Saccharomyces cerevisiae S288C: one gene and its partner. Changing the gene in region 2 together with the main gene of any one other region gives a genetic interaction. Each region holds a gene or a part of one and is shown on either strand. Other genes may lie near its edges.

Region 1 (6,374 bases), on a different chromosome or scaffold from region 2:
AGATGATGACGGTGATGGCGATACTAGCGAGGATTATAGCGAAACTGCGGAATCAAGAGTTCCCACGAGCAGCACCACCTCATTTCCCGGGTCATCCCAGAGGAGTATATCGGGGTGCACAAAAGTTTTACAAAAGTTTAGATATTCATCTTCATTCAGCGGAGTTAATGCAAATAGACAACCACTATTTCCTCGGCACGTTAATCAAAAAAGTAGAGGAATGGTATACGTCAATCAAAATAGAGATGATGATTGCGACGATAACGATGGTAAAAATCAAATCACGCAAAGGCCATCACTGCGAAAAAGCCTTATTGGTGCCAGGTCACAGAGAATTGTGATTGACATGAAAAGCGTAGATGAACGAAAATCATTCAATTCATCACCAATTTTGCATGAGGAAAGTAAGAAAAGGGACATCGAAACTACTAAGTCAAGCCAAGCTCGGCCGGCAGTCAGATCTATCTCCTTGCTTTCCCAATTTGTTTATAAAGGTAAATAAAAGTTAAGTACTGCACGTTTCATATCGGAGGTATATTTTTCAAATGAAAATCTCGTCGAAATGCCTCAAGACAAGAATTAAAAAATCAATGCCCAGTAAAGTAGGACAGGGTACGGTTGGAGTAAGAAGCCTTCTACTTTGGGAAAAAGCCATTGTACTAGACCAAGAAAAGATTAAAAGTAGATGTGTCAAATTAAGCCACAAGTATGTTTGCCCCGCTATGAACAATGCACGCCGCATGTGAGGACAACTTTATATGTTTTGCGAGCGCGCTGGGCATGTGCAATTCACATTTTTTTTTTCCTTTTTTTTAACCCACTCTATTTATCTAATCAAGCCGCTAGCGGTCTACATTCGCTATCAACTGAACGAATAGTGATGCAATCTGAACCTTAAACTTTTCGCTCGCTTTTACTTTCCAGAAAAAATTTTCTTCATTGGGATTCCTCTGCTGACAAACGGGCTCACAGAACTGAGGAAACGAGAATTTTGTTAATCAAAGCAACATTACGGGAAGGAACGGAACCGTCTCGTTGCTGTGGGCGCGAGTTCGACGCAAGAAAAAAATGCTGCAGCATCGTCTTTTGTGAACGCCAAGAAGGAGTCCGGCGAAGGTATTGGGCGTCACAACCTTTTATTCTCCGCAGTGTCTCTTGCCTACAAAGCCTGCAGAAGCTTTTATGCCGGGGTGTACGTATGTTAATCAGTTACCCTTTCCTACTGTGTGCCGCACCCCTCATTTGCTCTCGATACGAGAAGTTCCGCGCCGATTCTGGCCTTTTTGTTTTCTGGCTAGCCTACTTTCAGGGGACGTGCCTTCTTATGCCGCTGTAAATTACAGCAGAGATTTAGATCTGAGTGAAAACGTGGCGAGGAAAAAGGGTACACCGTTAAAAGCGTAGACACAATCCCACTTTGTTGTGCCTAGTCTTCTCTGCTGTATTTTAATTTTCTGTTTGAACTTTTTTCCGTTCTTTTCCATCATTGTTTAATTTTTACTTTGAGTGGGCTTCTCAAAAGAAAAAAATAGCTGGTATTGTATTTTTACCGTAGGCGTTTTCTTTGTATTTTTCCCAAGAGCAGCAGCACCTTTTATATACCTTGGTTACACATTGTAAGCCTCAAAAATCGTCCTATGTAAGTGTCTTATCGCATCATACTTAAGGTCAAACCTGTAAAGCGCGCTTCTAGTTTTATTTCTACTACTCGCCTTGGCTCTCGAGATCGCTTAGGTAGTTTAATAGTTAGTCACACCCACCCACCCATTCGCTTAGAATATAGAATATAGAGCAGTTGCAGTACACGACTCATTTTAGCAACGATAAGAGTATAAATTGGAAATGCCAAATTTTCAAAAACCTTTTTCTGGTTCTTCGGATGGCAATTCTGTAATGAACGACCTAGGTAATAAAGTCGCCATCAAGGTTTTTGATTGTAGAAGTGCTCAAGATGGCAGCGAAGAGCAGAATGTAAATGTAACCACGAACCAAATGTATTTAATGTTTCAAAGTAACAATTACAACGTGCCGCCACCAAATTACAATACCGAGGATTTGGGTTCTCAAGGACCTCCGACGCATGCTTATTACGCTCCATTTCAGCATCCCATCCATCTTCAACCTCCCGTGCCTCCTGTATATAAGAACAACACATATTCTGCCACAGACCAGTATAGTGACTCCTCGTTTCCTAATACTTCAGGCCACACTCCAGTAATTGATAGTAATTACTATAATGATGCTCTGGCTTCTATACCTACAACAACGACGGGTAGTACTACAATGACTACAGACAATGGCAATACTATTGACAGCGAAGAATACATTGATAACATGGAAGTCTTTAGTAGCGAGGAAAATGAAAACATTGATAATGTAAAGCAAACCGATCTTAAATCTGAAAAGGACTCGAGTCTTCTTTCAGCAGCTTCAATCGTGAAAAAGGAACAATTGTCTGGCTTTGAAAATTTTTTGCCTTTATCGAAGACAGAGTCTCCCTTAGTTACTGCAGACGAGATTAAATCATCTTTGAATTTGGAGAATATTGACAATGCTGACAGTATGAGCTTCAAGTTAAAAACTTCACCTATACGGAAACATTTTCATGTTAAACCCAAAAGAATAACAAGGGTGAGGACAGGAAGGGTATCACACAATATAATTGAAAAGAAATACCGTTCCAATATTAATGATAAAATTGAACAATTAAGGAGAACTGTCCCAACGCTACGAGTAGCGTATAAAAAATGTAACGATCTTCCCATTACATCTAGAGACCTAGCAGACTTAGATGGCCTAGAGCCAGCAACAAAATTGAATAAGGCGTCCATTTTAACGAAATCTATTGAATATATTTGTCATTTAGAAAGAAAGTGCCTACAGCTAAGCTTGGCTAATCAACATTTATCAAATGACACACGGGATTCTTTCGTCCATCTTACCGAGCCATCTCAACCGTTGAGTGACAACAGTAGTAGTGAACAAGTACAAAAGCAAACCAGAAGCTGCCAACGCCAACGGCAGCGGCAGCCACGACAACAACAACCATTGCATAACATTCAATATAATATTCCACATCAAAACGGCCTCATGAGCGGCACCAACAATTCACATGATATGGATTTTAACAACGCAGGAGACTTTTAATACTTGAACAACAAAATGTTTCAACACGACAGATAAAACGAAGAAGAAATACTATATACAAATCTGTACTTGTGTGTATGCGTAACATTGTAATTTTAATTTTGCATTGAGAAATCTATTTTATTCATCTCTTTTAGTGTTAGTAAACACTCGCAGATGCCTTGAGCTCCGCACCGTAATTTAGTTTAATTTATTTCTCTTAGTGCCGTCTAAATAATAACGATCTAAAAAAAAGATTCCGGGAAAAAGAAACTATACCTTATATTTAGTTCATGCAGTTAAATAAATGTTGTTAATTAAGGGTAAAATATGATGATGTATTTATGATAAGTAAAGAGTAGGGGTCACCTAACATTTTTCACAATTGCATTTACTCTTTTCACAAGTGCACGTGGTTTCGCATTTGCATTTTTCACCACAACTCTTACATTGAGGGCTTCCGGTGCTGTGATCACATTTGCACTTTTCACCGCCAGAACAGCTTGGAAGGCAGGTGCTCCCACAATGACAAGAGTCCTTACAACATTCGCCTTAACAGTCACATATTTTTACAGTCATATTTATTGAGTACTATTTGACATTGTAGTGTTCAGTGTAATATCGCTTCGCTATTCTTAGGGGGGACGATGTGCGCCCTTCTTATATAGGCCCCGCTTGATCACTACTTCACAGCCCTCTCGCATCCCTATCCTTTTTTTGTCCGAAAGACAAAAATCACTTCCACACAGCAATAAAGACGCATTTATTGTTCTTTTTCTTAAAAGTGCTTGCAGTAGGGGGTTTAGCAAAAGAAAAAAATATATGACCGGTTGTTATGCGATCTGACGTAAAGTGGAACTCATTTTGAAGGGTTTCTGCACAGAAGTCAATGCCAGAAGGATTTGGAACACCTACAGGACTGAACGTCGGACTAAAATAATGTTGGTAGAGTATGGTATTACTGTAAATTAATCGTTTATACGTGACGTTGACGATGGGATTTGATTTTCTTGTATATCTGACTTGAAAATAAAAGCAATAAATGACCACAAGAAATAAAGGCAGCTGTACTTCTGCAGTTATGTCTTTTCGTCCACTGGGCCTGCCTTAATCACTATTTTCGTAATTATAAATGTGGTTGGTTCGAAGTTCGGTTTCCATACTTTCGTTGTCACTGATGTCTGTAGCTAGATAATTGGAATCTCTAATATGTTTGTCGGCTCCTGGTCTAACAGTTGAGCCTTCTTTATTCTGTCCAATGCCATTTTTTGGTTCATATGAATTGGTTTTTCGCCTAGGCTTCCTTAATAGCTGTCGATATTTGGATAATGTCGTTTTAGTATTAGGTTTGCCATTCGATTTACTTCCAAAACTGGGATTTTGCCCAAATTTATTCTCACTTTTCATTATCTTATGTCTTCTTCTTCTGTCCCTTATTCTTTCGATTGGAGATTTCCAGGTGGGTGAAGGGGATCCTACTAAACTTGATGAATCGTGGGAAGTAGTGTTACTTTTAGTAGTGTTTAAATCCCTGTTTAACGTTATGGCGCTTAAATGCTTGCCTAAATCTTCTCCGTAATAATTGACTGTTGGATTGGCGAAAAATTTGTCCCTATTGTTAATTTTTCGTCCAAGGACTGTTTTTTTGCTTATGTGCAGCTCCCTCTTTTCCAATACTCCAATTAAGCCCCAAACGTTCACTGTTATTAAAACTTTCAAAAGATGAACAAAGTTAAATGTCCAACCTCTAACATGTTTGGTGAAAGCAGCGAAAAAAATTGTGGTGAAATAGAATAAAATAAATATAAGAATATTATACGCCAATAATGGTATAGTTTCGTGATAATTTTCCCAAAGAATTCTCAATTTCGTTTTACACTTACCGTCCGTATTAATTTCAGCAGTTTTCGGTAAAAGTATGTAAGCAAAATTATGCCATGTGAAGTAACAAATAATGGAGATGAAAATTGTGTAAATCAGTAATTCGATTAGCTTGTAAAATACCTTCAAAACTACAAGGTTCTTTCTCCAAAGAAGGTTTGCGAATAAAATGTTATCGGCTAGTGAGAGGAAGCAACCCACGGTAATTATGATATGTGTCCCCTTTTTCATTTTAAATGGGATCCAATTCCAAGTTGGTTTTCCATAATTGGACTGTAAGTAGTGAACAATATAAATCCAGTTTATATCACTCAAAATATTTGCAACTAATTCACATATTTTATATGGTGCAGTTTCTACGATGAACGATTCAAATTGGCTCGCATCCTGGTAGTCATCGTGATATTGGCTGTCAAATATGACGGCTATAGTCTCGTTTAGAAATACAGTTCTTATAATCGCAGAGAAAAGGACGTAAACATGTACAACTTTATTTCTTCTATTATGATTATCGGATGGCAGTAATAAGACAACCAAAAATAGCATCCATGTTGCCACACAGATACACCCAGAAGCAAAGGTGATCATTATCATTCCTAAGGGAAATGGGTCTTTTCCGATGTATTTACTACTGTCATCTTGAACGTTGAATTTGTTGTTGATGTCATAAACAAAGTCTTGTAAGACATGAGAGAAATTAGGATTTGCACTGCCATTATCGCATCGGATCAAAAAGGATGGGTAATTTAAAGTGTAATTATAAGCACGTAAGTGCCACGAATTACTTGCTAGAGAGATGAAGCCACCTGTCAATACATTTACCGTGCATGAGTTTTCATATTTATTTAGTAGTTTATCATCTATCAAATCAGTCAGATTGTAAGCTGGAATGTTGTCGATGTGTTTTTTATAAGGTGGCCGGTGGTCGTAATGCGGTGGTCTTTCATCACCAAGTTTATGTCCCGGAGGACCAGGTATCAAATCGGGAGGTTGAATTCTCTTTCTTGCTGCTTTTTCATACGCACCTACAAGTCCTAAATGGTAAACTAAAGTGAGGAGGTAGTAAAAATGCAATCTTATGATCATTAATCTTGCACGTAAAGACGTTCCGCAACAAAAAATGCTTGTGAGTGCAATATCAATAAGTATTGTTTTTGAGCCTTCGGAGTTGAGCTGCCATTTGGTGGTACTTGTTTTGAATATGATAGAAGCCTTATCTTTGACACTTCTTCCAGTCAATTTTCTCGCCAAGTTAAAAAAAAAAGTTACAATTTTCTCATCACCCCGAAACAACAAAAGAAAGTATATTGCTCTTTAGCCCTTCCTTGCAGATTTTTCAATCCAACGGGGCTAGTAAATCTGATATC
Region 2 (4,837 bases):
AAGCCATTCAAGGGAAGAAAATTAAAAGATGCTTTATTTTTATTTGTGGTAGAAAATAAAACTAGCCCCGTAAGTATTATATAGTGAATGTAAGAAAATAGGCCAACAAATTCTGACACTAAATACTATTAAGTGACTGCTGACTTTCGGTTGTCACCTAAGGGGTTCTTGAAGTAATTATGGATATTACGCAGAAAATAATCGCATTTATAAGCAACAACTGTCACGATTGACCTGATGCAAAGGAAATTAGGAATATATATGAGTGTAGAAGAAGATGGTAATATCCAAATTTTAAATTTTCCTTCTTACCGCCTTAAATCAATACCATGGATTAATCATTCAAATATATGCAGAATCATGTTAATGGTTCTTTTTGTCTTTTCTGTGATGCATATTCAGTAGTCTGTGATGAGCATCCCCCCACAAGAAGGGCAATTTGATGAAATTCTTACTAGCGCCGTTCGGAACGAGGTAAGGGCGCTTTTTAAAGGGAAAGAGCGTATCATTTGATAAGGATAAATTGAAATCAGTACCAGCGTTAAATGCAGATAGTTATATCGTGTTCATAACCGCTACTGAAGAGTCATGGAGGATAAGGAGAAACTTATTGTATACTCAAATACCAGTTCGGTATTTACATATAGTGCAGAAATAAGGCCAAATTTTAAAATATCTGTATCTCAAAGTCAAGGTTTTGCCTGGAACCAGGACTTATTCGCCACACAATACCAACAATCATATAAGGTGGTATATGATGCACACGAGGACAACTTTGATGAGTTAATTTTGAAGATCAAGGGCAAATTAAAGACAAAATCTAATAAAAGAGCTAAAATGAAGTCTAAGACTAAATTAACAAGGACTGCAAAGCAGAGAAGGGAAAGCCCCGTTTGTGAAAGGGACGAGAGTGACGAGGATAATGATAGTGATCACTACCAAAGAATACAAGTGCTAGATGGCCATGAATTTCCGAGAGCAAATCGGTATAAATCTGTATGGGCTCATGACGTCCACTCGAATGAAGATAGTACAAGCGACGGGGAAAGCAATCATGATATAGATATGATTGGCGGCACTGGCACGTCGTATGCAGGAGCAGCCATAATGGATAGGCCACGCAGGAAATCTGAGAGAAGCATAAGCTTTGTGGAGGACTCCAAGACAGGCGATTACAGGTATCAAACCGGGCAGGTGGATGTTGTAGAGGTGGACTCGGACACCCCTGAAAATAATCACCTAAAATGGTTAATTAAATAATTACTTCTATGTCTCAACGTTAGCATTTCTACATTGTATAGGTATAAATTGTTTTTGAATCCGTACGTCCTACAAAAAAAAAAAAGAACATATATATGTTTGTGTGGTGAAACAATAATTTAAGACACCCAGGGGGCGGGGAAAGAAAATATATGCTGCTCAGGCAAAATTAATATTGTAATCTAATTCGTCAATCATGTGGACCAGGTCATGCTCACTGATGCCATCAGCCTCGTTTTGCCAAATTTTCCGTATCAATAATCTAGCATTTTGGAAATTGTAACATTTATATCGTTTTAAAATGTCGTCAAATTTGGCTTCCAAATCTATTTTTTTCTCCATATCTTCTACCTGAATGCATACACCGTAAATGAAAAGTGGGAAGCATAACGATCCTTCCAAAAAAGTTCCGATGACCTTGTCTAGCTTCGAGTCCAATTTGTTTCTCAGTATCTGTAGTTCCAGCGAATCTTTGTCAATCTTTAATAAAGTTAATTGAAAGAACATTAAGGTAGAAATTTTCATTATCTCGAATAGTTCTAAATAGTAAAATTTCTTTTCATCATCCAAATGTTCCAGCGCCATAAGCGAAGGTTGTAATTTATAAATCTCGACTTGCAAACTCAAAATTTTATCGCCATGCTCTAGCATTTCTTCCTGTTCCATAGTCTGCAAAAACCTCGTCAAATTTGTGACTTGTCCCAATAGTAGTAAAATAGGCTTGTTGATGCCAATTAAAGGGTCTATTTCCTCAATTGGCGAGTCTATTGACTCAATAAAGTTGGCTGAGCTGGGTAAAGAGTTCTGATCCCTTTGGAAGAATTTCTCGTATTGTTCGATCGGGAAGGACGTTGTATTGAAATTCAAAATATCATGATATATAAAATTCACAATCAGCCAGTACTTAACAACGGAATTGAAATTGGGGAAGATTATCCTCTCCTCTAGGGAGGGTTCTTCTGTAGTAGTGGTTAGTATCCGTGAGACATCCTTGCCCACATGGTTTTCGATCAAATTTTTTCCTATATTCAATAATATCTTCCAAAATTTCACATCACCCTGACATATCTCTGAACCACATAAGATTAGGATTTGTGCTAGTGAATATAGAAACCCCAGTTTAGCACAGGCACTTGAGCCCTCGTTTGTCTTTAGATGCGATAACGACATGTATGTATACTTGTTCGCCAAGTTGACAAATATTTCATCCTTTCGCAGCTCATTTGATGATGATATAGACAAATGATTAGCTGACCAAGCAAGAATAGCAAACAATATACCATCATTCTCGTGGGCCATTGGCAAGAAAATGTTCAGATAGTAGTTCTGGTTCATGGGCGCGATGGAAATTATGTTTGCAAGGTGAGACCTGTAGTAGTTGTACAGCTGCAATCCCATAGAGTCCAGCTTCTGAGAAATGCAATCTTCCAGCGGTTTTGACAAATATACCTGGTTATCCTGTTCGTCGCTACCGACCCGTCGAGTACGGGTGGCCACGGCCGCTTTCTGAGCACTGTCAGGAGCATGCTTTCTTTTCTTGCTGATCAACTGGTGCTGTATATCTGCCTTTATTTTTTTCAAAGACTGCTTATCAACAGATTCTGATATATAGATACAGGGAAAACTTAATCGACGACAGTCCCGGCACACAGGTTTATCTTCAGAGCATCTCTTCTTTCTGATCTTGCAAGTAATACACCCATGCTTCGAATATTTCAATTTCAGCTTCTCCACGCCATAATTCATACCTCACTTTAAAAAACTTTGTTTTCTTGGCATCCATACATGAACAATAACAACAATTCTATATCATCTTAAGTAAGACTCTTATTGTAATTTCTTTTTCTTTGATGACTCAGACCCTGGTAGCCCTACCGTTCAACCCTATACAGCGCAAATTTGGTCCTAATACACTTCGGTTTTAATGCGTCAATCCGATTGGCTCCGATAAGCTTTTGCACATTTTTCAAGTCATATGTCACGACGAACGTGATGCCCGCAAAACGTAAAAAAAAGAAGCAATAAATTGCCCAAAAAAAAAATATAAACTGCTTTTCTTAGTCATTCATAAGTTCTGATGGTCTTCCTTATCTTATTGTATTTTTCGTCCTATTGTTTCATTTCTTACCAAATTAATCAATTCTTATATCTTACTTGATAACACACCAAACTAATCGTCTCCACATCATAGGAAGATAGGAAATTGCTATCTCAGTCCTATACTACGCAGACGGATACTCTCAGTTGCTCTTTCTTCCCCTTCTTTTAGCTCATTGAGGTAGTGATTAACGTTTAACTTATTTATTTATTTTTCTGCTTCAGTTTTTTTTTATTTATTTTTGTCTTTCTACTCTCTCTTTTTTCTTAATCTATTTGCCATTTATTTATTTTGAAGAACTAGAAAAAGAATTAGAAAAGAAAGCATGCCAGTGTTGAAATCAGACAATTTCGATCCATTGGAAGAAGCTTACGAAGGTGGGACAATTCAAAACTATAACGATGAACACCATCTTCATAAATCTTGGGCAAATGTGATTCCGGACAAACGAGGACTTTACGACCCTGATTATGAACATGACGCTTGTGGTGTCGGTTTCGTAGCAAATAAGCATGGTGAACAGTCTCACAAGATTGTTACTGACGCTAGATATCTTTTAGTGAATATGACACATCGTGGTGCCGTCTCATCTGATGGGAACGGTGACGGTGCCGGTATTCTGCTAGGTATTCCTCACGAATTTATGAAAAGAGAATTCAAGTTAGATCTTGATCTAGACATACCTGAGATGGGCAAATACGCCGTAGGTAACGTCTTCTTCAAGAAGAACGAAAAAAATAACAAGAAAAATTTAATTAAGTGTCAGAAGATTTTCGAGGATTTAGCTGCATCCTTCAACTTATCCGTATTAGGTTGGAGAAACGTCCCCGTAGATTCTACTATTTTAGGAGACGTTGCATTATCTCGTGAACCTACTATTCTACAGCCATTATTGGTTCCATTGTATGATGAAAAACAACCGGAGTTTAATGAAACTAAATTTAGAACTCAATTGTATCTTTTAAGGAAGGAGGCCTCTCTTCAAATAGGACTGGAAAACTGGTTCTATGTTTGTTCCCTAAACAATACCACCATTGTTTACAAGGGTCAATTGACGCCAGCTCAAGTGTATAACTACTATCCCGACTTGACTAATGCGCATTTCAAATCCCACATGGCGTTGGTCCATTCAAGATTTTCCACTAATACTTTCCCCTCTTGGGATAGAGCTCAACCTTTACGTTGGCTAGCTCATAATGGTGAAATTAACACCTTAAGAGGTAACAAGAATTGGATGCGCTCCAGAGAAGGTGTGATGAATTCAGCAACTTTCAAAGATGAGTTAGACAAACTATACCCAATTATCGAAGAAGGTGGTTCTGATTCAGCTGCATTGGATAACGTTTTAGAACTATTGACTATTAATGGCACATTATCTCTACCTGAAGCTGTTATGATGATGGTTCCTGAAGCGTATCATAAGGATATGGATTCTGACCTAAAAGCATGGTACGACTGGGCTGCATGTCTGATGGAACC

The links. Genes that interact genetically often act in the same process or in processes that back each other up.
Region 1: mutations in UGA3 (region 2) and HMS1 together harm fitness more than expected from each alone (negative genetic interaction), as found in Saccharomyces cerevisiae (one large-scale study listed by BioGRID).

What each region holds. Positions count from the first base shown.
Region 1 is NC_001147.6:386,544-392,917, reverse strand, and holds HMS1 (Hms1p), read left to right. Parts: upstream 1-1,842; coding exon 1,843-3,147; downstream 3,148-6,374. Other genes in the region: Rad2 family nuclease EXO1, read left to right, coding at 1-502; YOR032W-A (uncharacterized protein), read right to left, coding at 542-742; DFG16 (Dfg16p), read right to left, coding at 4,234-6,093. UniProt on the Saccharomyces cerevisiae protein: Involved in exit from mitosis and pseudohyphal differentiation.
Region 2 is NC_001136.10:154,487-159,323, reverse strand, and holds UGA3 (Uga3p), read right to left. Parts: upstream 3,007-4,837; coding exon 1,420-3,006; downstream 1-1,419. Other genes in the region: UGX2 (Ugx2p), read left to right, coding at 589-1,260; GLT1 (glutamate synthase (NADH)), read left to right, coding at 3,684-4,837. UniProt on the Saccharomyces cerevisiae protein: GABA-dependent positive regulation of genes required for catabolism of GABA (UGA4, UGA1, and UGA2).